5 linked regions of the Callithrix jacchus genome follow. The protein of the gene in region 3 binds, or shares a complex with, the protein of the main gene of each other region. Links are inferred from orthologs where the notes say so. Each region holds a gene or a part of one and is shown on either strand. Other genes may lie near its edges.

Evidence for each region.
Region 1: EXOSC7 (region 3) and EXOSC6 share a complex: the UniProt entries of both Homo sapiens proteins name them as parts of the RNA exosome core complex. The link is inferred for Callithrix jacchus from reciprocal best matches to the Homo sapiens genes EXOSC7 and EXOSC6.
Region 2: EXOSC7 (region 3) and EXOSC4 share a complex: the UniProt entries of both Homo sapiens proteins name them as parts of the RNA exosome core complex. The link is inferred for Callithrix jacchus from reciprocal best matches to the Homo sapiens genes EXOSC7 and EXOSC4.
Region 4: EXOSC7 (region 3) and EXOSC3 share a complex: the UniProt entries of both Homo sapiens proteins name them as parts of the RNA exosome core complex. The link is inferred for Callithrix jacchus from reciprocal best matches to the Homo sapiens genes EXOSC7 and EXOSC3.
Region 5: EXOSC7 (region 3) and EXOSC5 share a complex: the UniProt entries of both Homo sapiens proteins name them as parts of the RNA exosome core complex. The link is inferred for Callithrix jacchus from reciprocal best matches to the Homo sapiens genes EXOSC7 and EXOSC5.

The regions. Positions count from the first base shown.
Region 1 is NC_133521.1:31,651,670-31,655,799, forward strand, and holds EXOSC6 (exosome complex component MTR3), read left to right. Parts: upstream 1-1,238; 5' UTR 1,239-1,283; coding exon 1,284-2,099; 3' UTR 2,100-3,762; downstream 3,763-4,130. Other genes in the region: AARS1 (alanine--tRNA ligase, cytoplasmic), read left to right, coding at 311-496. UniProt on the Homo sapiens protein: Non-catalytic component of the RNA exosome complex which has 3'->5' exoribonuclease activity and participates in a multitude of cellular RNA processing and degradation events.
Region 2 is NC_133517.1:53,542,130-53,546,459, forward strand, and holds the start of EXOSC4 (exosome complex component RRP41), read right to left. Parts: upstream 2,963-4,330; 5' UTR 2,848-2,962; coding exon 2,677-2,847; intron 1,668-2,676; coding exon 1,461-1,667; intron 1,369-1,460; coding exon 1,042-1,368; coding exon of another isoform or gene 1,009-1,041; exon of another isoform or gene 966-1,008; intron 1-965. UniProt on the Homo sapiens protein: Non-catalytic component of the RNA exosome complex which has 3'->5' exoribonuclease activity and participates in a multitude of cellular RNA processing and degradation events.
Region 3 is NC_133516.1:27,738,113-27,741,798, reverse strand, and holds part of EXOSC7 (exosome complex component RRP42), read right to left. Parts: intron 1,255-3,686; coding exon 1,089-1,254; intron 1-1,088. UniProt on the Homo sapiens protein: Non-catalytic component of the RNA exosome complex which has 3'->5' exoribonuclease activity and participates in a multitude of cellular RNA processing and degradation events.
Region 4 is NC_133502.1:144,772,745-144,776,909, forward strand, and holds the start of EXOSC3 (exosome complex component RRP40), read right to left. Parts: upstream 2,802-4,165; 5' UTR 2,782-2,801; coding exon 2,452-2,781; intron 1,787-2,451; coding exon 1,637-1,786; intron 1-1,636. UniProt on the Homo sapiens protein: Non-catalytic component of the RNA exosome complex which has 3'->5' exoribonuclease activity and participates in a multitude of cellular RNA processing and degradation events.
Region 5 is NC_133523.1:36,667,898-36,672,253, forward strand, and holds the start of EXOSC5 (exosome complex component RRP46), read right to left. Parts: upstream 2,819-4,356; 5' UTR 2,784-2,818; coding exon 2,636-2,783; intron 1,542-2,635; exon of another isoform or gene 1,349-1,541; intron 1,040-1,348; coding exon 926-1,039; intron 679-925; exon of another isoform or gene 636-678; coding exon of another isoform or gene 605-635; exon of another isoform or gene 1-604. Other genes in the region: BCKDHA (2-oxoisovalerate dehydrogenase subunit alpha, mitochondrial), read left to right, coding at 3,283-3,393. UniProt on the Homo sapiens protein: Non-catalytic component of the RNA exosome complex which has 3'->5' exoribonuclease activity and participates in a multitude of cellular RNA processing and degradation events.

The sequences.
Region 1 (4,130 bases), on a different chromosome or scaffold from region 3:
ACCAGGGGGGCAGTGTAGGTCTTAAGCTTATTCCTGAGGCCTGTGTGTTCACAATCGGCATTTGAAACTAGACACCTGTTGCCCTTTACCCCGGCCTTCTCATTGGTGAAGATGTCTGGTTGATACTTGGCTTTGCCACTCTGTCCTTTCCTGGCTGTGGCTATGACTTCCCCCTTTACCAGCTGTTAAGCGTGTCTCGGCTGCCAGCATCACCACCCTGGGCAGGAGTGGGGGATGGCTCCTGCATTTCTTTTCCTCCATTCCTCATTTATCTTGTGTCCTAACTCCCCCTTCCCTTCTTTTCTTCCAGAATGCAGCCAATAGGGGCCTAAAAGCCAGCGAGTGGGTGCAGCAGGTATCAGGCCTGATGGATGGTAAGGGTGGTGGCAAGGATGTGTCTGCGCAGGCCACAGGCAAGAACGTTGGCTGCCTGCAGGAGGCGCTGCAGCTGGCCACTTCCTTTGCCCAGCTGCACCTCGGGGATGTGAAGAACTGAGGTGGGGAAGGAGGAGTTTGGCACTGGATCCATAGGTCCAGCCAGGAGTTCCTCCTCTGCTCTAAGAACATTAGAATCTTGGGACCTTTAAAGAGCTCCCACCATCTTCCTAACCCCACGGTAACTGGAAGAGGTCCTGTGACCCAGTATTCCTTATATGTCTGCCCTGAGTACCCCAGCATTGCTGTTGTGCATCGATAGGCATCTGGAGCGGACAGCTCTCCAGACCTGAGCTGTCTGGGTTAGCAAATGGGAATCATTTTCGCTGCAGAGAATAAAGGACCATGTGCAATAATTGACGCCGCAGGATCTCTACCCATTCCCAATGGGGGCGCGCCGTTTCCACAGCCTGTGGCCCCTGCTGTCTAGAATAAATGCTGTGACTCCTGCTGGCTGCTGCTGTATTCACTGTCTAGCCCCAGAACTCTGAATTTTGGGAGTAGCCCCTGTGGTTGCCTCAACCGTTTGTGGCGATGGAAGCCAAATAGGTGACATAGAGGGAGGTGTTCATAATTCAACAGAAAATGAGGGGTGGAAGCAGAGAAGCCTCTTTCTTCTAACTGCCGCCCCCCGCCCCCGTTGTATGTATGAACGCCACATGCCCTGCACTAGCGGCACCAAGGCTTTGAGGACGCCGGCCGTTCTCCCTCCAGGCCTTCAGAGGGCGCTATAGCGAAGCCGGCTGCTCCCCGACATCCTTCGCGCAGGCGCGCATCTTTAAGCAGCGGAAGAGCTGGTGTGCGTGGTGGAGCAGCGGCCGGAAGCAGGTCGCACGCCAGGCGCCGTGATGCCTGGGGACCACCGCCGTATACGCGGCCCGGAGGAATCACAGCCGCCGCAGCTGTACGCGGCCGACGAAGAGGATGCGCCCGCCGCTCGCGACCCGACGCGGCTGCGACCCGTGTACGCTCGCGCGGGGTTGCTGAGCCAAGCCAAGGGCTCAGCCTACCTGGAGGCAGGAGGCACCAAGGTGTTGTGCGCGGTGTCGGGCCCGCGCCAGGCCGAGGGCGGCGAGCGCGGGGGCGGCCCGGCCGGAGCGGGTGGCGAGGCCCCGGCCGCGCTGCGTGGTCGACTGCTCTGCGATTTCCGCCGCGCCCCCTTCGCGGGGCGCCGGCGCCGCGCTCCCCAGGGCGGCGGTGAGGAGCGTGAGCTGGCGCTGGCGCTGCAGGAGGCGCTGGAGCCAGCGGTGCGCCTGGGCCGATACCCGCGTGCACAGCTCGAGGTGTCTGCGCTGCTGCTGGAGGACGGGGGCTCAGCCCTGGCCGCCGCGCTCACCGCCGCTGCGCTCGCCCTGGCCGATGCGGGCGTGGAGATGTACGACCTGGTGGTGGGCTGCGGCCTGAGCCTCGCTCCGGGGCCCGCGTCCACCTGGCTACTGGACCCCACGCGGCTCGAGGAGGAGCGCGCCGCCGCCGGTCTCACTGTGGCACTCATGCCCGTCCTGAATCAGGTGGCTGGGCTGCTGGGTAGCGGGGAGGGTGGCCTGACCGAGAGCTGGGCGGAGGCCGTACGCCTTGGCCTCGAGGGCTGCCAGCGCCTCTATCCAGTGTTGCAGCAGTGCCTGGTGCGGGCTGCCCGTCGCAGGGGCGCCGCCCCGCCCTGAACAACGACGGACGCCACGCCGAGACCCGTGCCGTGGGCCTCGAGCCTGCATCGAGATATGCAGCAGGAGCCCCGGAGAGCACCTGGAGAGGCTGAAACAGAGCCGAGGCGCCAGACAGCTGTGGTGGTGGAAGGGCTTTTTACAAACCTCATTAAAGGAACTTTCCTCCTTTAGCCGGCTCTCAGCTGCGACCCAGTTGAGAACACCTGTGAGCGCAGCCTGACTTCCAGGCTGGAAACTTGGAACTTACCTGGAAGCTGGTATCTGGGAACTGTAGTCATTTAAGGGATAGATCCTTTGCACCGCCAGCCAGAGACTCCCTCTGACGTAACTGGGCGACTTTTGAGAGGTTGGACAAGAGGCTGTGCCTTCTCACCGTGTCTGAGCCAAAAGAAAAACACTTCTATATCTGAAAAGCGTCTTCTGTTGTGATTCTTCTTGGTCCAGGATTTTAGAGAGCACGGCTTCTTTGTTCTTACATCCCAGGTGGCAAGGGGCCGTGACCGCGGTGCCTTTAACCGGTCCCGTTCCTTAGACCAACTTGAACGGGACAGATAGGCTGCAAAGAACAGCTGCAGGACTGGATGTGGGCCCTGTGCTTTATAGAAGGAGAAGCTGCCCCCACACGAACCAGAGACAGGACAGCTGCTGAGATATGACAAAAGTAGGAAGAGTTGTATGGCCCCAGCGGCGCGCTGAGTGCACCCCAGCCCCCCACCCTGGTTTGGTACTGGGCAAGACCCAACTCGGCTGGGTAGCTGGAATGGGTTTTGCTCTGGGTGGAAGCCAGATCTGTCCTTGGCCATGTGGAGAACGGCACAACCAGAGGCCTCCACAGCCGGTGGGAAGTGGTGTCCTGGGCCGTCTTCACGTGGTGCCTTGGTCCTAGGAGGAAAACCCTGAGCAACGCCCAGAGAGGGCAGGTGAACTGCCAGGAAAGCCAGGTACGGCTTGGCTGCTCCATAGGGCAGAACCGGCCTGACTCACCACGAGGGTGGGGTCTTTCCTGTGTGGCTCCCAGATCTGCTGGTCTGGTCTCAAGGCTGCTCTGGACGCAGCCAGGTGACTGCCATTGAGAAGGCAGGGCAGCCTGGTCCGGTCTCTGCACTCGGCTTCTCGGGGAAGGGCCGGTGCCGGGCAGCCCAAGGACCAGAATGAGTTTCTGGAGCCACACCAAGAAGCCTTGACCAGGAAAAAGATTTATGAATTTTATTTTTTCCCTTTTGACTTACCTTTCCAGAGCAGGTCTGAAATGGTATCACACCAGTGGAGACAGCTCATGTTATTCTGAAGGATGGCTTTGGAGAGTGGATGACGAGTCTGGAGCCCCAAGAGGGTGGTGTGGGGTGTACGCCGAGGACCTTCCGGCTGTTTCGGGCAGGGAGGGAGACTGGGATCCCAGGGAAATCTGTTGGCTGTTGGTGCATCCAGAGGGGAGTGAAGAGCAGCTGTGGCCGTGTCTGCACTCAGGACTGAGGATTGCCCCTGAGTGCTGGGGTGGGGTGGGGGTGGGCTGTCAGCTGTCCCTTGGAAGACAGCCTCAGCTTCATGAGGATGGCGACCTGGTACAGTCCCAGGCTACCTCCCTCCTAACGCTGTCAGTCCCATGGCTGTCATCGTGAAATGTAACCTCCTAAGAAGCTAAACCTGCTGCAACAGTGAACCTTCCGCTTTTCTGGCCAAGCCCTGTGTTCTCTTCTATTGACCCAGCTCCAGAACGGGTATCTCAGGTTGCATGGGTGCTACCAGGAGGCCTTCACAACCTAGGCAAGGCAAGGACCTACCCCAGAACGCCCGGAGCTGATGAGCCTGGAGGAGATCCTGCTTCCTCTTGGCTGTCCTGGTCCTATGCGTGGTCCTCCACCTGTAGGGAAAGTAGAAGCAGGACGTTAGTGGAGGGGCAGGAGGCATGGGCTAGGAAAGGAGGGGCCCACAGCACCTAGTCTTTCTGCACCCACTTTCCATTTCCCCAGAGCTTTGGCACCTCAGATCTAGGAACTCAGAACCACCAGGCAAAAGAAAGCATTTTTT
Region 2 (4,330 bases), on a different chromosome or scaffold from region 3:
CCAGGCTGGAGTCCAGTGGTGCAACCTCTGGTGTGGGGTTTGGCCTCCCAGTTCAAGCAATTCTCTTGCCTCAGGCTCCCAAGTACCTGGGGCTACAGGTGCCCACTATCACACTAATTTTTATATCTTTGGTAGAGATGGGGTTTCACCATGTTGGCTAGGCTGGTCTCGAACTCCTGACCTCTACTGATCCATGAGAACACGTTTTTTGTACTTTTATTTTTTTAGATGGAGTCTTGCCCTATTGCCCAGGCTGGAGTGCAGTGGCACGATCTCGGCTCACTGCAACCTCCACTTCCCAGGTTCAAGAGATTTTCCTGCCTCTGCCTCCCAAGTAGCTGGGATTATACAGGTGTGTGTTACCACCTCAGCTAATTTTTGTATTTGCAGTAGAGATGGGATTTTGCCATGTTGGCCAGGCTAGTCTCAAATTCCTGACCTGAAGCAATCCATCTGCCTCAGCTTCCCAAAATTCTGGGATTACAGGTGTAAGCCACTATGCCTGGCTTTTGTACTTTTAGAGTCCAGGGTAAGCAGCAGGAAAAGCCCAAGGGGTTCCAAGCCATAGTCCACAGGCTGTGGGACATGGCTACCCACATCTCTAGGGTGGGTACCCAGAGCCAGCTGAGTTTTTCCTCAGCCCTTTGCTCAGGGCTCCCGATGTGCTGGAGTAAGAATAGATTCCTCAGTCTAATGGCCTGGCTCATCTTGCCAGGCCCTGCCTCTTACTCAGCTGCCTTGAGTCCTTACTGGGACATGCTGCTTTTTCCACCCAGGAACTATCTCTCCTCAACCCCCTAATCCACTGTTCTCTTCAGGGTTTCAATCAGGATATACAGAGATAGACAGTTCTCTATATAAGAGGGTCCCTGGTCATTCCCAGTAGCCAGTACCAGGCCAGGCTCTGCAGGGCTTCACATAGCTCCAAAGTGCTGTTGGGTGATCAAAGTACAGTGAGGAGTGTGTGGGCGGAGGAGGGTTTTATTCTGGACATGGGTGGCAGGGTGGTCAATCCCCCAGCAAGATAGAGGCCTCACGCACATGCTGCCGGACAACTCGGTCCAAGAGGATGTGCACATCTTGAGCAGCCTGGGCAGCAGCCTCCAACACCTGCTCCAGGTGGTCCTCATGCAGCCGGGCATCCATCTCAAGCAGCGCAATCTGGCCTGAAGCTGGCAGCAGGGCCAGGGCCAGCTGGGGGCCACCAGCTGCTTCCTCCACATGGCTGAGGTCTGCCAGGGCTGTGCCGTCCACGAAGCCAGCTGAGCACGCACACACAAAGTCTCTCATGGGTATGCCAGCATCCAGCACTGCCAGCGTGGCTGCATTCACACACGCTGCGTAAGTCCCACCATCTGCCTGTAGCACCTGCGAGGACCCCAGGGTGTCAGTTCATCAGACTCCCTCCTCAATCCCATCACACTCTTCCCTCCCTGGATTGCAGGCTGCAGCCGGCTCACCTGCACATAGATATCAATCTGGGAGCGTGGGTGCAGCTGTGTGAGGATGGCTGCTTCGAAAGTCTGGCGGAGTTGTAGGCCCATCTCACAGGACTTACGGTCCCCATGTGGCCGTCGCTTGCGCTCACCGGTGCTGAAGGTCGCTGAACTATATTGACAGTTCACTAGGGCCCTGTCTGGCAGGGCTCGAGCCCGCGAGCCCCGGATCTGGAAGAAGATGGACACATGAGCCAGGCCCACTTCTTCCAGCTCACACTCCACTGTACTCTGGGGGTCTGCCTCTCCTTTCACTTTCAAGGCCTCAGCAAGAGGCAACTACTTTACCTCCAAAACAAAGCCCCCTGTTTTGCTCGTTTTTCCTCCTGGCATGCATCTTTTAGTTGGCTGCTTTGTGTCCATCCTTGTCCCATTCCCTTCCAGCCCAAGTTTACAAACATCAAGGCTGATTCTATCTCACGTACACACTCAAATCCTAATTAACTTACGAAGGCGTTACATTACATGTGAAATAAAATCCCAAATCCTTTCCCTGGTCTACAAAATCCCAAGTCCTCACCTCCCCGGAAACACTCTACTTTAATTTGGAGTTACCCCCTTTCCCCACCAGCAGTCTTTCTGCTCTGCCTAAGTGCTATGCTTGTTTTCACCCCCGTGGTCTTCGCCCTCGTGCTTCCCTGCGCCTAGAAAGCAGAGCTCCCACAGCCATGCGCTAAGCACATTTTCAATACCTTTGCTGGCCAGGCACTGTTACAGCGCTGGGAACCGCAGTGAAACCATAGAGTTTCATGTAAAGTTCCTGTCTTTAGGAAGCTTATGTTCCAGCAAGGAAACAAAGGTGAACGTGCTTAAGCAAAACAGGCGTTTGAGATCGTAGGTGCACAAAAGACAAGGAAGGGTTTATTGTAGGGAGGGGAAGTACCGCGTGGATAAGGTTGTCTGGGGAGGAGTGACGTCGGAGTAGAGCTGAGAGGTGACGGGGCGAGTGGGGGAGCTGAAGAGCCGCAAAGAGAAGGGAGGGCGCAGGGACAAGCCGATGAGAAAGGCAGGACCACCGCTCAGTGCACTAAGGACTTGCGTTTACTCCGAGTGACATGCGGTGCTGAGCATCGGCTGTGTGGTCGGAGGCGCGCCGGCCGTTGCCCCTCAAGTCCCTGAGCCTGTGCTCAGCCCGGCTGCCCTGCGGCTCCGCGACCGCACGATTTCCCCTCCCACTCGCCTCGTGCGGGCCGTAGACCACCGCCAGCGCCTTGGTGTTGCCCTGCTCGATGTAGGCCGAGCCGTCAGCCTGCGCGAACACGCCCATCCGCGCCTGGATTTTGCGCAGCTCCCCGGCGCGCCGCCCGTCCACCCGGTAGCCCTGGTCCGATAAGAGCTCCAGCCCCGCCATTCCGCCCGGCCGCCAACTCCCTCTCGGCTTAGTTCTCTGAGCCGCTGGAGAACTGGAGAACTAGAGCTCCAGGCGGCTACGACTTCCCCGGATCTACGGTTTCCGGTGGTCCTCTGTCACTTCCGGGTCCGCGGAACTGCAACTCCCCGCGGCCCCGACTTCCCCGGATCTATGGTTTTCGGCGGTCCGTTGCCACTTCTGGTCCCGGGAAACTACAGCTAACCGCCGCCCCGAGGTCCCCGGATCTAAGATTTCCGGCGGTCCGTTGCCACTTCCGGTCCCGGGAAACTACAGCTACCCGCGGCCCCGACCTCCCAGGATCTACGGTTTTCGGCGGTCCGGCTCTGCTTCTGTCTCCGGGGAGCTGCAGCGGCTCTGTCGGGGAAGCGGGGGCTAGGCCCGCGGCCGTTCCCGGAGCTGTGCCACGGGTGCCAAGAAGTGGGCGCCCGCTGAAGGAGGAATTCCGAAGCCACGCCCTCGGGACCAATGGTGCCTGCATTATTCAGCCTTCCCCGCACTGTAAGTGTGAAAGTGGAAGGATGAACTTAGTGGTTGCAGCATTGACTGACAGGAGAAGAGAAGGCATTGAGGGGTCCTAGGAAGGTGACCGGGCTGGTGTCCCAGCATGGTCCACACCTGGCACCTCCATTCCTCCCTTGCCCTCCGTTACACCGAGCTCCCACACTGCAGTCAAGTGGGCCTCCCGTTTCCCTTTGAGGATGCTGATTCCTCATCCTTTCCAAAGAGGCGTTGTATGTCTGTTTATCTCTTGCCACCTAACCTCAGTGGCTTCGAATAACATGATTATTTTATGATGTTCTGCAGTCTGGTGTTACCTAGGCTCAGCTAGGTAGTTTGCATTTAGGATCTCTCCTGCAGTTCCTGCTAGATGGTGGCTGGGGCTGGAGCCATCCTCAAAGTTTTCTCCCTCATATCTTCGGTGACTGATGCTGGTGGCGGGCCAGGACCTCACGTGTGGCTGTTAGGCAGCACACCTACATGTGGCTTCTACATGCAACCGAGGCTTCCTTGCAGTATGGCAGTTGGGTTCCAAGGGTAGCCTTCCAAGACAACAAGGTGGGCGACGTGTGTGGTATTTTTATGACCTAGCTCAGAAGTCATATAGTGCCACTCTTGCCAGACTCTGGGGTCAAGTCAGTCAGACAAGTCTGCCCAGGCTTAAGGGATGGGGATCTATGACCGCCAAGGCAGGAGCGAAATACCTCAGCCTATTTCCATATAAATAATGAAGAAGAAAGTAACTAGAAATATAACCATAGTAGTTATTAGTTATTCATAGGTGATCTTAGTTATTTATAGGTGATCTTAATTCTTTTACTAATGCCTATCAGGTCGGAAGTGTGAACCTGGGGTGACATTGTGAAATGAATGACACTAAGGCAAGATGCTCTAAGCCCTCTGTCACGCCTAGGAAGGGCTGCTGGAGGGCACCTCGGCCGTGCGGCAGCTCCAGTGCTGTGAA
Region 3 (3,686 bases):
AACAGACCCAACAAGAGCCTGTACATAAACAGGCAACCAACTGCTATAGTATTATATAAAAGCAAAATTAAGCTTGGCAGATCACTTGAGGTCAGAAGCTCCAGACAAGCCTGGGCAACATGATAAAACCCCATCTCTACTAATAATATGAAAATTAGCTGGGCATGGTGACACACACCTGTAATCCCAGCTACTTGGGAGGCTGAGGCATGAAATCACTTGAACCTAGGAAGCAGAGGTTGCAGTAGGCCGAGATCACGCCAATGCACTCCAGCCTGAGCGACAGAGCAAGACTCCATCTCAAAAACAACAACAACAAAACAATTAATTAGAGCTACACAGAGAAGTTACTATTGAGTGCCAAAACATGGGTAGAGGAGTATTTGGGAGGCAAAGTACAAGGGAGGAAAGGAAGGGCTGGACTAAAAAGATCCCTAAGGGAGTGGGCTCTGTGTGGGAGGAAGCAGGGCCTCTGTGGCCTCACCCAGCAAACCAGGGGCAAGCAGGTTTAAAAAGCTGTTTAAAAAGCAATGGCACAGTGAGGTCAAAGAAGGTATTCACATCATACAGACCTGACTTTGATATCCAACAGCACTACCAGAAAGCTGAGACCTCTTGGGCTAGTTACTTAACCTCTCTGTGTCTTAGTTTCCTAACTTATAAATGGGGAATATAATACTGTCCTTTTGCAACAGGTTAAGAAGGTTTAAATGAAAATGCACGTAAAGAGCTGATCATCCTTCCACACACAATGTACCGACCTGTCTAAATTCTGCCCCCCAACTCTGTCTGGCACCATTCAGAGACCATCTCGTTTCATTCTTCCCTGACAACTTTTATGGGCAATTTTAGGTGCTACCATGATATTACTATAATTTTACTATAGAATGGCATTATATATATGCTGCTTATATCTATGTTGTATTTAATTTTTTAAAAAAATATTATAGGAGACCACATTTTCCCAACTAATCTCACCCTATAAGTTGAAATCACTCACCTGAAGAGGAAAAAAGCACTAGAAGGAAAGTAGGCCAACTAGTCTCCAACATAGGTAGAATATGGCCAGACAGCAAGGTGATACTCACCAGCACATCCACATAGAGAACCCAGCAGTGCTCCCGAGCACTAATGCAGAGGGTCTTCAGGTCAACACTGCTCTTATTGTTAAATATCCGATAGAGGGTGTTAGCGATCTCTGTGCCAAGGTCATCACCTCCTCGACCTTCAAACTCAGGGGTAGCATTGGCTGAACTATACAAAACAGAAACAAAAAAACTGGGTGAGTCTAAGCGCAAAAAGCAAAGAGGCAAGGCTTTATTCCAGTTTCCCTGTAGAATGCTGGAAAAGCCAGCTGCTTGACAGAAAGTCACTGAGATGAGGCAAGAATGGCATCTGCCACCTTTCCTGCCTCCAGAAACATGTAATGAACCAGACCAGCACTAGGACCTGGATTTGTCAGCGTGTGTGATGGGATTTCCCAAGAGTTTCTAACAGAAGCCATCTTTAGCCAAAGAGAAACAGGAGAGTGATGGTAATGTGAACCTCAGCCAATAATAATTAACTGTCTTATCTTCAAGCATATAATAAATACGCTTGTCTGCCAGGCCCAGGAAGCGGAGAGCCCTAGGGAATGAAGCAGTCTGGGTTACAGAGAGCTTTCATCATACACACCACCTTTAGTTTCACAGCTTTAGAATGAGCTATGATACTTTTCAACATAAAAACCACAATGTAAGCACAATAACCTTTTCGGAATGACTTAAAAGACATATATAATCCTCTCTGGATTGACTTAAAAGACATATACGTCAAAGCTTTGTTATAAACTTTAGAGATCACTGTACTGAAGAAAAAGAAAAATTATTGGCTCAAAAGTAGTAGGTTACCTCCTTTATTTGGTATTTTTCAAGAAAAAAACTTTTTTCTCCTTTTTGGCTTCTTGATATTTAATGCCCAATAACCTTAACAAAACTAACAGGATTCAGCATTAGCCAACCTAAAAACACCAAAGTATTTAGTAGGACATTTCTGAGAGTTTTGGCTTAATACAAACAAATCCTTAATATGTATGCGAGATAAGTAAACATTATAGTAATCATTTTATTATAACAATAAAGGACCAGAAAGGTAAGAAGCTAGTGGTTTCAGCATGGACTCTATGAAATCACGTATTAAAGCCTTCTGACCCTCACCCATATGGAAAGTTCCCAGCCCTAAACCAGCTACCAGACACCCAGAGGCTGAGTGAAGCAGATGCAGACCCAAAGCCAGCAGTTCCAATGAGGTAGGAGAGTTTCACCATAGACAGCAAACAGTGAGGTGGAAGCGGAGAGGGGCACAGAGTGTCAATTAGTGTTCAGGGTTACAGGAGACCTCAAACCTGGGATGAGCAGAGCTGGTCAGGCCAGAAAGGCGGGAGGATTCTAGGCAATGCAAAACCTGTGTGAAGGCCCATGGCAGTGCCCATCCCATTTGTATAACACTAAAAGAAATCTCACTTGGTAATACAGGTAAAAGACTGAATTCTAAAATAATCAGACTATGCTGTTACATACAATTTTGCCTCTCTAATTATATATTCTTTCCTTACCACTGTGAGCCAGAATCCCCTTTAAAGTACCCAAGAGAGACTTCATTACTGCTATAGCAACCTCGCTGTTCCCTGCCTCTGCTGGACTCAGGCATCAAGCCAAGAAAAGCAGCTTGTTTATGGTGAAATAATCAAGTCACCAGGGACCAAGTTTTTACTCTGCACAGCCAGCAAAACACAACCTGTTTTTAATTTAAACACTAAGCAATCAATATTAAGTCCTGTGTTTTAAGTGCTTAAAAATACATCTACAGAGATTTCTGTGTACACAAATCCAGTCAGAGATACTTATGCTCAAAACGTTTATCTTTCCCTGAATGCAGTGGACACATCCTGCTGGGTGTGACTAATTTTTCTGGGACTAATGCATTCACTCTTCTACAGCCTTGGGGGATGGTTTATAGAGCTTCCCAGGTCCAACTGTCTACATTAGTCTATCTATAAAATCATACCCCATTAATTTTTTTTTTTGACATTGGGCTAATGTGGAAATTTTTACCTATTTTTAAATGCCTTCACACACACACACACATACACACACACACACACACACACACACACACACACACACACACACACACACCATCTTCCAGAAGAGCCAGGAGTCAGACAAAGAGGAAGGTTTAGAGACTCATGAGCCCATTGAGCTCTCCTGTGCCTGGATGATGCCATAGTTGTGCAGTGACTCTGGGGAGGAGGCTGGGAAAATGGAGGGGAATTATTCAGGGTTGGGGATGGGGTACAACGCTTTAAGTAACATAAGAAAGCCATATTCTGCCGATGGGCGAAGACAAAGAGAAATGAGGATTCCACTTCACTACTGGGGCACTCACAGCCCAAGGACTCTTTCTGACAAATTTAGACAGAAATGTAGACCTGGAAAGGGCCTCAGAGACCATCCTCAGAGGATGAAAACCCAAATGCCTACCGGGGTCAGTAAGGTTACTACATGTATCTGAACAAAGGGCCACATATAACTAATAGAGAATGACAGAGACTATAGCAAGCAAACTTTCCAGCCCTGACTTAAGGTCCACCTTAAAAAAAGAAACATCCCTATATGAAACAAAAATCTCACAGGTGGGATTTGACC
Region 4 (4,165 bases), on a different chromosome or scaffold from region 3:
CAATGCCAGCCACCTACAGTTCTGTGGCTAAGGGACTGACTACACTACAGGATTTCTACAGTCACTTTGGAGTTGAGTCTTGTGAAAAAAAGGAACGCATGTATCATTCCCTTTCACCAACCAGGAAATCACAGAGGAAGAGCCATCTGAAGGCCAGAGAACACCTCTAGGGTTGCACTGTCCAATATGGTAGGTAGCTAATTATCTGAACTCACATTTAATTAAAATTAGATACTTAAAATTAATTTCCTGAGTTGCATTAGCCACATTTCAGGTGCTCAACAGCTAGTGGCTATCATACTAATCAGTAGAGACATAAAACAGCATCACTATGGAAAGATGTATTAGGTGACACCACCCTAGAGAATTACAGATTTACAGAGAGAGGAAGGAACTCACAGCATGCGAATTATTCAAAGCAAAACAAAATAATTCACTGACACTTCTCCCTGCAAGATTACTTAAAAACCTCATAGAGCTAAACTTTAAAGTGATGAAACTGAGGAAATGGAGAGTGAACTCGGTTTACTCAACAAAATGTGTTAAGTACCTACTGTTTGTTGGTGACTATGTAAACTATAGAGGAAGAAAACATTCTCCGATTTTCAGAAGCATTTGGTCTTGGAGGGCAGTTGGGAGGTACATATACTAAATCCAGTAAGTGCTAGAGAAAAGATAGGAGAAAAGTGACAACTGGGGATGGCTTTAGAGAGGTGGTTGTGTTTAGCCTAGGTCTAAAAGATGAGAATGTGTTCCACAGGCTGAGAAGGAATAGTGCAATCCAGAGGGAACAGCATGTGCAAAGAAATAAGGGCAGGAAATTGAGTTTAGTGGTTTTTGGTGTGATTCAAGTAGGGCTGCATGAAGGATATAATTAGGGATAAGGAAAAGACACCTGAAGTGTAATGCCAAGGAATTCTGTAGATTTTGGATAATCTTGTTTTTTCTTTTCCAGAAAGTGACTGTGAGGATGTCTGCTCTCAAAACCCTGGATGGTAAGGTAAAAATGTGGAGGCAAGGATTAATGTGACTGAGTCCAGTCAAGACGGAGCTAAAGCCTGAACTTGCAAAGTGGAGATAAAGGGATGGACATACCAAAGATCAGAGATGGAATCAAATAGGATCAAAATAGGGTTAGGCAACTAAATATGCATGAGAAGTGAATGAGAAGCAGCAAAGAAATCACTAAATGTCGGGCTGGGGTAGACAAGAGTGTGGCTATGCTACCTGAAAAGCCCAATCTGAAAACCCAAGGCAATAATATCACTCCTCTCTCAGCTCCTAGGATCTACAGCCAGGATGGATGGATAGCTGATAATGCCAAAATGCGCACTACTTTTCCCTCCTCTAAGCCTACAGAAGACTTCCTTGTCCAGAGGATGTGGACATAACACATAACAGAGATGACAGATAACTCAGTAGAAATGAAACATGCTAAGAACAATGTAGTCAATGTAAAGTAAGTATGTGGCTCTGGTCCTGGAGCATCTGAAGAAACTCTTGGAGCCTGGGGCAATTGCATGCACAGAAATCTAGGTCATGCTTTGGAGACAATTCAGGTAGCCTTCTGGAGATATGAGTCCTTCAAGGGAATGGATGTTTTTCTTGCTTTGAAACCAAAGGCTCCCATCATTACCTGCACATTTGGTCTGTTTCTTTTAGTTGCACCTTCAAATGACAAGTAAGACAAAGAAGCCGGCTCACTCCCTCCAACATCAACTTTGAATATATCTCCAGATTTAGCTGTCACTATGCCAATCACATGGTCTCCTTTCACTGGAACATACTACAAAAGGAAACAGAATGAGAAAACAGTCATAAATAACAACATACCATTGGAAGATACCTTCAGCAAGTCTTTTGTGGTTACCTTATTGTCATTAAAGAGAAAGAAATTTGATCGTATGCCGCTTTTGGTAAAAGAAAATCACATAAAGTGTCGGGTTTGCAGCTTCTGGTAGTCTGTTAATTGAGCCCAAACCCCGTATTTCTTCAGCACCCCAAAGAGTAAGTCCCTAGCTTTGTAGCATAAATCCAGTGGCAAAGGAATCCTTACAACCAAGGAAGCCCATTCCATAGTTAGACATTTTTTTTTCTGTATGAAAGTTCTTATCTGTCCTAGGAGAAATTAACTCCCCTTGACATCCACTCATTCAGCCTGGTCCTGCCCTCTGAGACTCCAAAGGGAAAGTCTGCTGCTCCCTGACCTTTGGGGTTTTGAAGACTATAATCATGACTAACGGTCTCCAAACGTTTTTCTCTCCTGGTCGCCCTTCTCAGGGTATGTTCCTATTGTTCACGGACCCTCTAAAGGACATGAAAAGTGGGCACAAGACTACGGTGGTACTAGGGGCTCTAGGTGCCTGAACAAGGAGGGCTTCAGTGTCCCATCCTTTCTTCTTTTGGGAGGTCTTCTTAAAGCAGGGCTACCACTCCGGAGTCCCAGCTTACCCGCTTCTGCTGAGAGTCCACCCAGTAAACGCCGCCGCCGCCGCCGCCGCCACCGCCGGGCTCTTTGTGACGGAGGCGGCCGCACTTGGTGACCAGCAGGCGGTCCCCACAGCGCCGCAAGCCCGGGCCGCAAATAACGCGCACCCGCGAGCAAGCTCCAGCATTCAGGCTCAACGGTCGCTCCCCTGCACCGCCAGGGCCTTCCGCGTCCTCCTGTTCCGGCAGGAGCAGCTCCTCACCCGGGAGCACCACCTGACCTAGTACTGAGCGCGCAACGCGCGCCCCGCCGCCCGCGAGAGATTCAGCAACTACTGATACACCTTCAGCCATTGCGGACGCCCGCAAACACCGTTTCCGGTATTCGCCTTCCGCTTCCGCACCCGCCCTTGATGACTTTCCGGTTCCGGCAGTAGTGGTCGGTTGAGTTGACCAGTTTATGAAGCTTCGTTGCCGTCAGCTCACAGGTGCCCGTCCGAGGTGGCTGTAGCCAGCCATCTATCTTACAGGCGTGAGCCACCGCGCCCGGCCGAACTTTTATGTTTTTTAGGATTGAGACAGATCATCTTCAACACACCCTCCAAATTTGGCAAGCCATTTTCCCCGCTAGGTGTAATAGAAGGCCAACAAATAAAAGGGGCTCCCACTTCCAGGTTAGTTTCCCTGGCAAAAATGGGAGCTCCTGTGGCAGAGACAGTATTAATTGTGCTTTTCTCTTCCCCACTCCAGAAGTATTGGGTGACCCTGCCTGCCTCAGTGTTGGCAGGATCAACAGCACGGCTGAAGGGCGCTCAAGGACCTCACATTCGGGCCAGGCAAAGAGGCAGGTGGGGAAATGTTCTCTGAACTGTCCTTCATTCACCCCACGTCGGTAGTGAAGTCTTTGGAAGAAACTCGGATCAGAGCTAGCAGAGGCCGCACATGACGCGCGGCGTAGCGCTCTAGCAGGTCAGCAGATGAAACAGCTGAGGCCGGGATGGAAAGTTTTCTCGCGACCCGAGGGCCGGGGCTGGGCCACTCCTGAGCACCACCCACCCTGACACGCCCACAGCGGGCGGGGCGCGAGGAACCGCAGCCAGCTTACCTGGCCGTGCGCAGCTGCGTCGGTGCTTCGCCGCCTCGGGGTCTTGCGCCCTGCCGAGAGCTAGCAGCCGGTGCTGGGCGGCGGGAATTCGTCCGCTGTTAGGTGGGAGCCCGAAGCCGCGAACGAGTGTTTGAAACCCGGCTTCAAGCCCTCGAGGGCGCGCGGGTTGGTCCTAGGGTCCCATGGGTCACGGTTCACATTTTCGAGCAACTCGTGCTTCCTCTCTGGTTATAAAAGTGGGAAAAGTGCAACGATTGGGGAATAAGGAGGAGGCTTTGCCCTCCGCCGGCGCTTGTGTTTCCCTGCTGATCGCGAGGTGGATTACGCCCGGTTCTCTGTCAGGCTTGCGGGTTTGGAGCCAAAGCAGTCGAGGCTGCTCCCCTTTCCAGTGCCTCTGGCCTATGCCTCCCCATTCGGAGTGTAACCAGGTCCCTTGATATTTAAGTACTCTGTTTTTTTTTTTTTTTTCTGTTTTGTTTTGGGTTTTTTTGAGACAAAGTCTCGCTCTGCCACCCAGACTGAAGTGTAGTGGCGCGATCTTGGCTCACTGCAACCTCCGCCTCCCAAGTTCAAGCGATTCTCCTGCCTTAGCCTCTTGAGTAGCTGGAATTACAGGCATGCACCACCACAACT
Region 5 (4,356 bases), on a different chromosome or scaffold from region 3:
CCTGGGAGGTGGAGGTTGCAGTGGGTTGAGATCACACTATTACACTCCAGCCTGGGTGACAAGAGTGACTCCATCTCAAAAAAAAAAAAAAAAAAGGTGGGCTCTGTGGCTCATGCCTGTAATCCCAGCACTTTGGTAGGCTGAGGCGGGTGGATCACCTGATCAGGAGTTCAAGACTAGCCTGGCCAACATGGTGAAACGCTGTCTCTACTAAAAATAGAAAAATTAGCTGGGTGTGGTGGCTTATGCCTGTAATCCCAGCTACTTGGATGGCTAAGACAGAACAGTTTGAACCCAGGAGGTGGAGGTTGCAGTGAGCCAAGATCGCACCACTACACTCCAGCCTGGGCAACAGAGCAAGACTCCATCTCAAAAAAATAAAAAATAAATTAAAAAGGGCCAGGCGCAGTGGCTCACACCTGTAATCCCAGTACTTTGGGAGGCCGAGGCGAGCAGATCACCTGAGGTCAGGAGTTTGACACCAGCCTAGCCAACATGGTGAAACTCTGCCTCTACTAAAAATACAAAAAAATTAGCTGGGGGTGGTGGCAGTTGCCTGTAATCCCAGCTACTCAGGAGGCCGAGGTAAGGGAATCGCTTGAACCTGGGAGGCGGAGGTTGCAGTGAGCCGACATCGCGCCACTGCACTCCAGCCTGGGCAACAGAGCAGGACACCATCTGAAAAAAAAAGAAAAAGAAAAAGAAAAACGGGTTAATGGAATGAAAGGGAGATAAAGGCAGAGATAGGGAGAAAGAGAGACGGAGGGAGAAATTAGAGGCAGACAGAGAAGCAACAGAAGATGAGACACAGGGACAGAGAGTTAAAGAAACAGTGGAGTGGAGACTGGGGGCAGCTGGCAGGGAGGAGCCAGGGAGCGGTTCTGACAAACTGGGCACTCTTCGGAGGTTCAGCAGTGCCCATTACCAGGCAGCCCGATCTTCGGCCTCAGGATCACTTCGAGTGTGGCCTTGTTGAAGATCTCTTTGCTGACCTTCACCTCGGCCGGCCCGTACACACCCGCCAGGACAGAGGTGTCACCTGGGGAGACAGCAGGGGAGGCCTCACTCACAGCGGCTTCTGGGGCCCCATTAGTGGCATTGAGCCTGATGGCCAGGGCTCCCCACGCCACCCCCGCCATTTGTTGGCAGTGATTCTTGGAGCACTCACTTCACTTTTCTGCCTGCGAATCCTCATTTGTAAAATGGGGACAACAGCAGTCCCTCCCCTCTAGCGTCCGGTAAGGGTCAAAGGACTCAATTCACAGAGAACACTTCAGACATTGTGGGGCTCATGCTGAGTGTGCAACTGACTTTAGCTGATATTAGTAATAGTCATCCATTAAGGCATTCAGGCAGGGTCTCACTCTCCTGGCCCAGGCTGGAGTGCAGTGGTGCCATCATGGTTGATTGCAGCCTCAACCTTTTGGGCTCAAGCAATCCTACCCCCTCAGCCTCCAGAGTAGCTGGAACTACAGGCACATGCTACCATTCCCGGCTTTTTAGTAACACACTATAGAAATGATCCCTGAAAGTACAGTCTTCATTCCCGGCTTTTTAAAAAAATTTTTAATAGAGATGGGGTTTCACCATGTTGGCCAGGGCTGGTCTTGAACTCCTGACCTCAGGTGATTTGCCCACCTTGGCCTCCCAAAATGCTGGGATTACAGGTGTGAGCCACTGTGCCGGCCTAATTTTAGTATTTTTAGTAGAGAGGGGATTTTGCCATGTTGCTCAGGAGGGTCTTGAACTACTGGGCACTTGTAATCCCAAAGTGCTGGGATTACAGGTGTGAGCCACCATACCTGGCCCTGATATTAGTAACTTTTAACAGGAAGTCCTTCCTGAAAGCTAACCATCCTCCCCCTTACTGCAGCTGCTCTCAGCCTCCTGAGTAGCTGGGATCACAGGCACCCACCACCACACCCAGCTAATTTTTGTATTTTTAGTAAAGATGGGGTTTTGTATGTAGGCCAGACTGGTCTTGAACTCCCTACCTCAGGTGATCCACCCGCCTCGGCCTCCCAAAGTGCTGAGATTACAGGCGTGAAGCCACTGCGCCCGGCCTCCCATGTCAAATTTTAAAGAAAAATGTTCTTGGAGTTAATCTAGTATTGAGTGTTATTTAGCTAGGGGAAGGGCATATTTACCCTATAGGTAAGACTTGCTCTAACCTTAGGGATATTTACTCCTGTGGAGAGATGCAGTGAGGTGGCAGTGGCGAGTATTTATGTGGGTGAAAGATCCGTCACAGTCCAGAGTATTTGCAAATAGATAGGTTTGCGTCAGTCCGGGATGCATGGACCTAGAGTGTGTGTGTGAGAGGCGGAGGACGAATCTAGTTAAGGGGGATATTTACTCTGGTGAGGTGATTTTTCCTATTCTGAAATATCCATTCTTGGGGGGACGGTCTGCCCCTCTTCTGTTTCTCAGAGATATTTGCCAGGATGGAGCTATCTTCTCCTTTCTAGTCGTGAGGGAGAGATGTGTGTATCGCTGCGTATGTAGTAGTATTCAACCGGACAAGAAATCCTGCATCAGTGCAGGAGTGACATTTACCAGCTGGTAACGTGGGGAGGTGGACACTCAGTTGCACTGTAGTCTCTCTCTGAAAGAAAGACCAGCGTGAAGTTCTTACCTTGTAGGAAAGAAGCAGAGCCATCTGGCCTCGACAGCAGGTTCTGTTCGCAGGCAAAGTGCCGGAGGCTGCAGCCGGGACCCCGAGGGCTGGACCCTCTTCCAGTTTCAGCGCCAATTTTGGCTTCAGTATGCCTCTCCTCCTCCATCACGCCAGACTCCACGTGCGGCTGCGATTGTCACTTCCGCCCGACCGCGCGCGCTGCGTACAGGGTGCGTAACCAGTGCGCACGCGTTGGGCTGGGCAGTCAGCCCCGGCGTCCGCACGTGGCTTAGCGTTTACCAACAATTTGGCTCCGCCCTGACCCACCTCCTAACTCTGGCAACACCATTGGGCAGTTGAGAACAGGAGGCGGGCCTTGGCCTGGTCCTGTTTTACTCTGAACACCGGGCCCCTAAATCCCTGGGGCCTTGGTCAGGTTGCCCTTTATTTTTGCCTGTTGCAGGAATAACTACAGTGAGGCAATTGTAGAAAACTGTGGACAGATAGATTTTCTTTTCCAAATCTCTGTGCATTCTGTCTACCACAGGAAGGAAAAAAGGTGGTTTCCGTGTCAGATGGTCCTGGAGTTTGCGTCAGGCATATAAAGGGGGAGCCCGGAGTCCAGCCTACAAGAGGGCCGGACCGCTAAATGGTTGTTAGCTAAGATGGCGGTAGCAATCGCTGCGGCGAGGGTTTGGAGGCAAAGCCGAATCCTGGGCCAGGCTGCCCTCCTCCTGCTGCTGCGGCGGCCTGGGGCTCGGGGACTGGCTATATCTGTGAGTACCTGGTCTCCAGGACGTCTTCCCAAAGGGGAATAGGGATGTAAAGGCTATCTTCAGAGTGTGGGGTCCCTGAAAGATATGAAGGAAGGGCTGTCCCAGAAGGGAAAACGTGGGAGACCTCTTGGAGAAGACACCGAAGGGAAGCTCTGCCACTTCCTTAGGAGAGGAAAAGAACCTGATTGCAACTTCTTTGTGGGCCCTGAGGGAGAAAGACGACTTGAGAAGGATGGAGTTCCTTATCCGCTGTCTTCCCCTATTCAGGGCTCCTTGGAGGGACCGCAAGACCTTTTTCTCTCAGGGTTTGGAGAATGCAACTGACTTTGTAAGGGAGAGACTTTCTTCTGGGCAAAGATCCCTCTTCAAGAAGGAGAAAGAAGAGAGCAGGTCCCTGTCACAGGCTGCATAGGGCCCTGTAGTTCTTTGCTCCTTTGCCACAATTCTGATTTTAAAATGAAATGTGTAAAAGATTTGTTTCATTCCTGTGTCTTCTGTTCGAATATCAAGACAGGGAATTCGTGTGTTCTGGACACACTACAGAGGAAATGATTAGTATTTGTTGAATTAATGAGGGGGGAAGAAGAAGAGAGAGGTGCAGACAGGACACTTTGCCCACATTTCTTAGAAACGCTTGAGAAGGCTTTGTTTCTTGCCAAAAGAGTCACAGTCCCATCAGGTGTATGCTGCTATGGGCAAGATTACCCTGCAGATAACGTAATTAGAAACCCCTCTTTGGGGTGGGGGAGGCAGTAGCTTGCAGAAGAGCTTTGAACTGCAGTTGACAGAGTAGTGGTTAAGTGGGTGGGTTCACGTCCTTGCTATGCGACTTTCCACTTGAGTAGCCTTGGGCAACAGACTGCACCTCTCTGGGTCTATGGACCTAATTTTCCTCCCTGTAAAATATTAACAGTGGCCATCTCATAGGGCTGTGAAAAATTAATGTGTAAAATGCTAAGGACT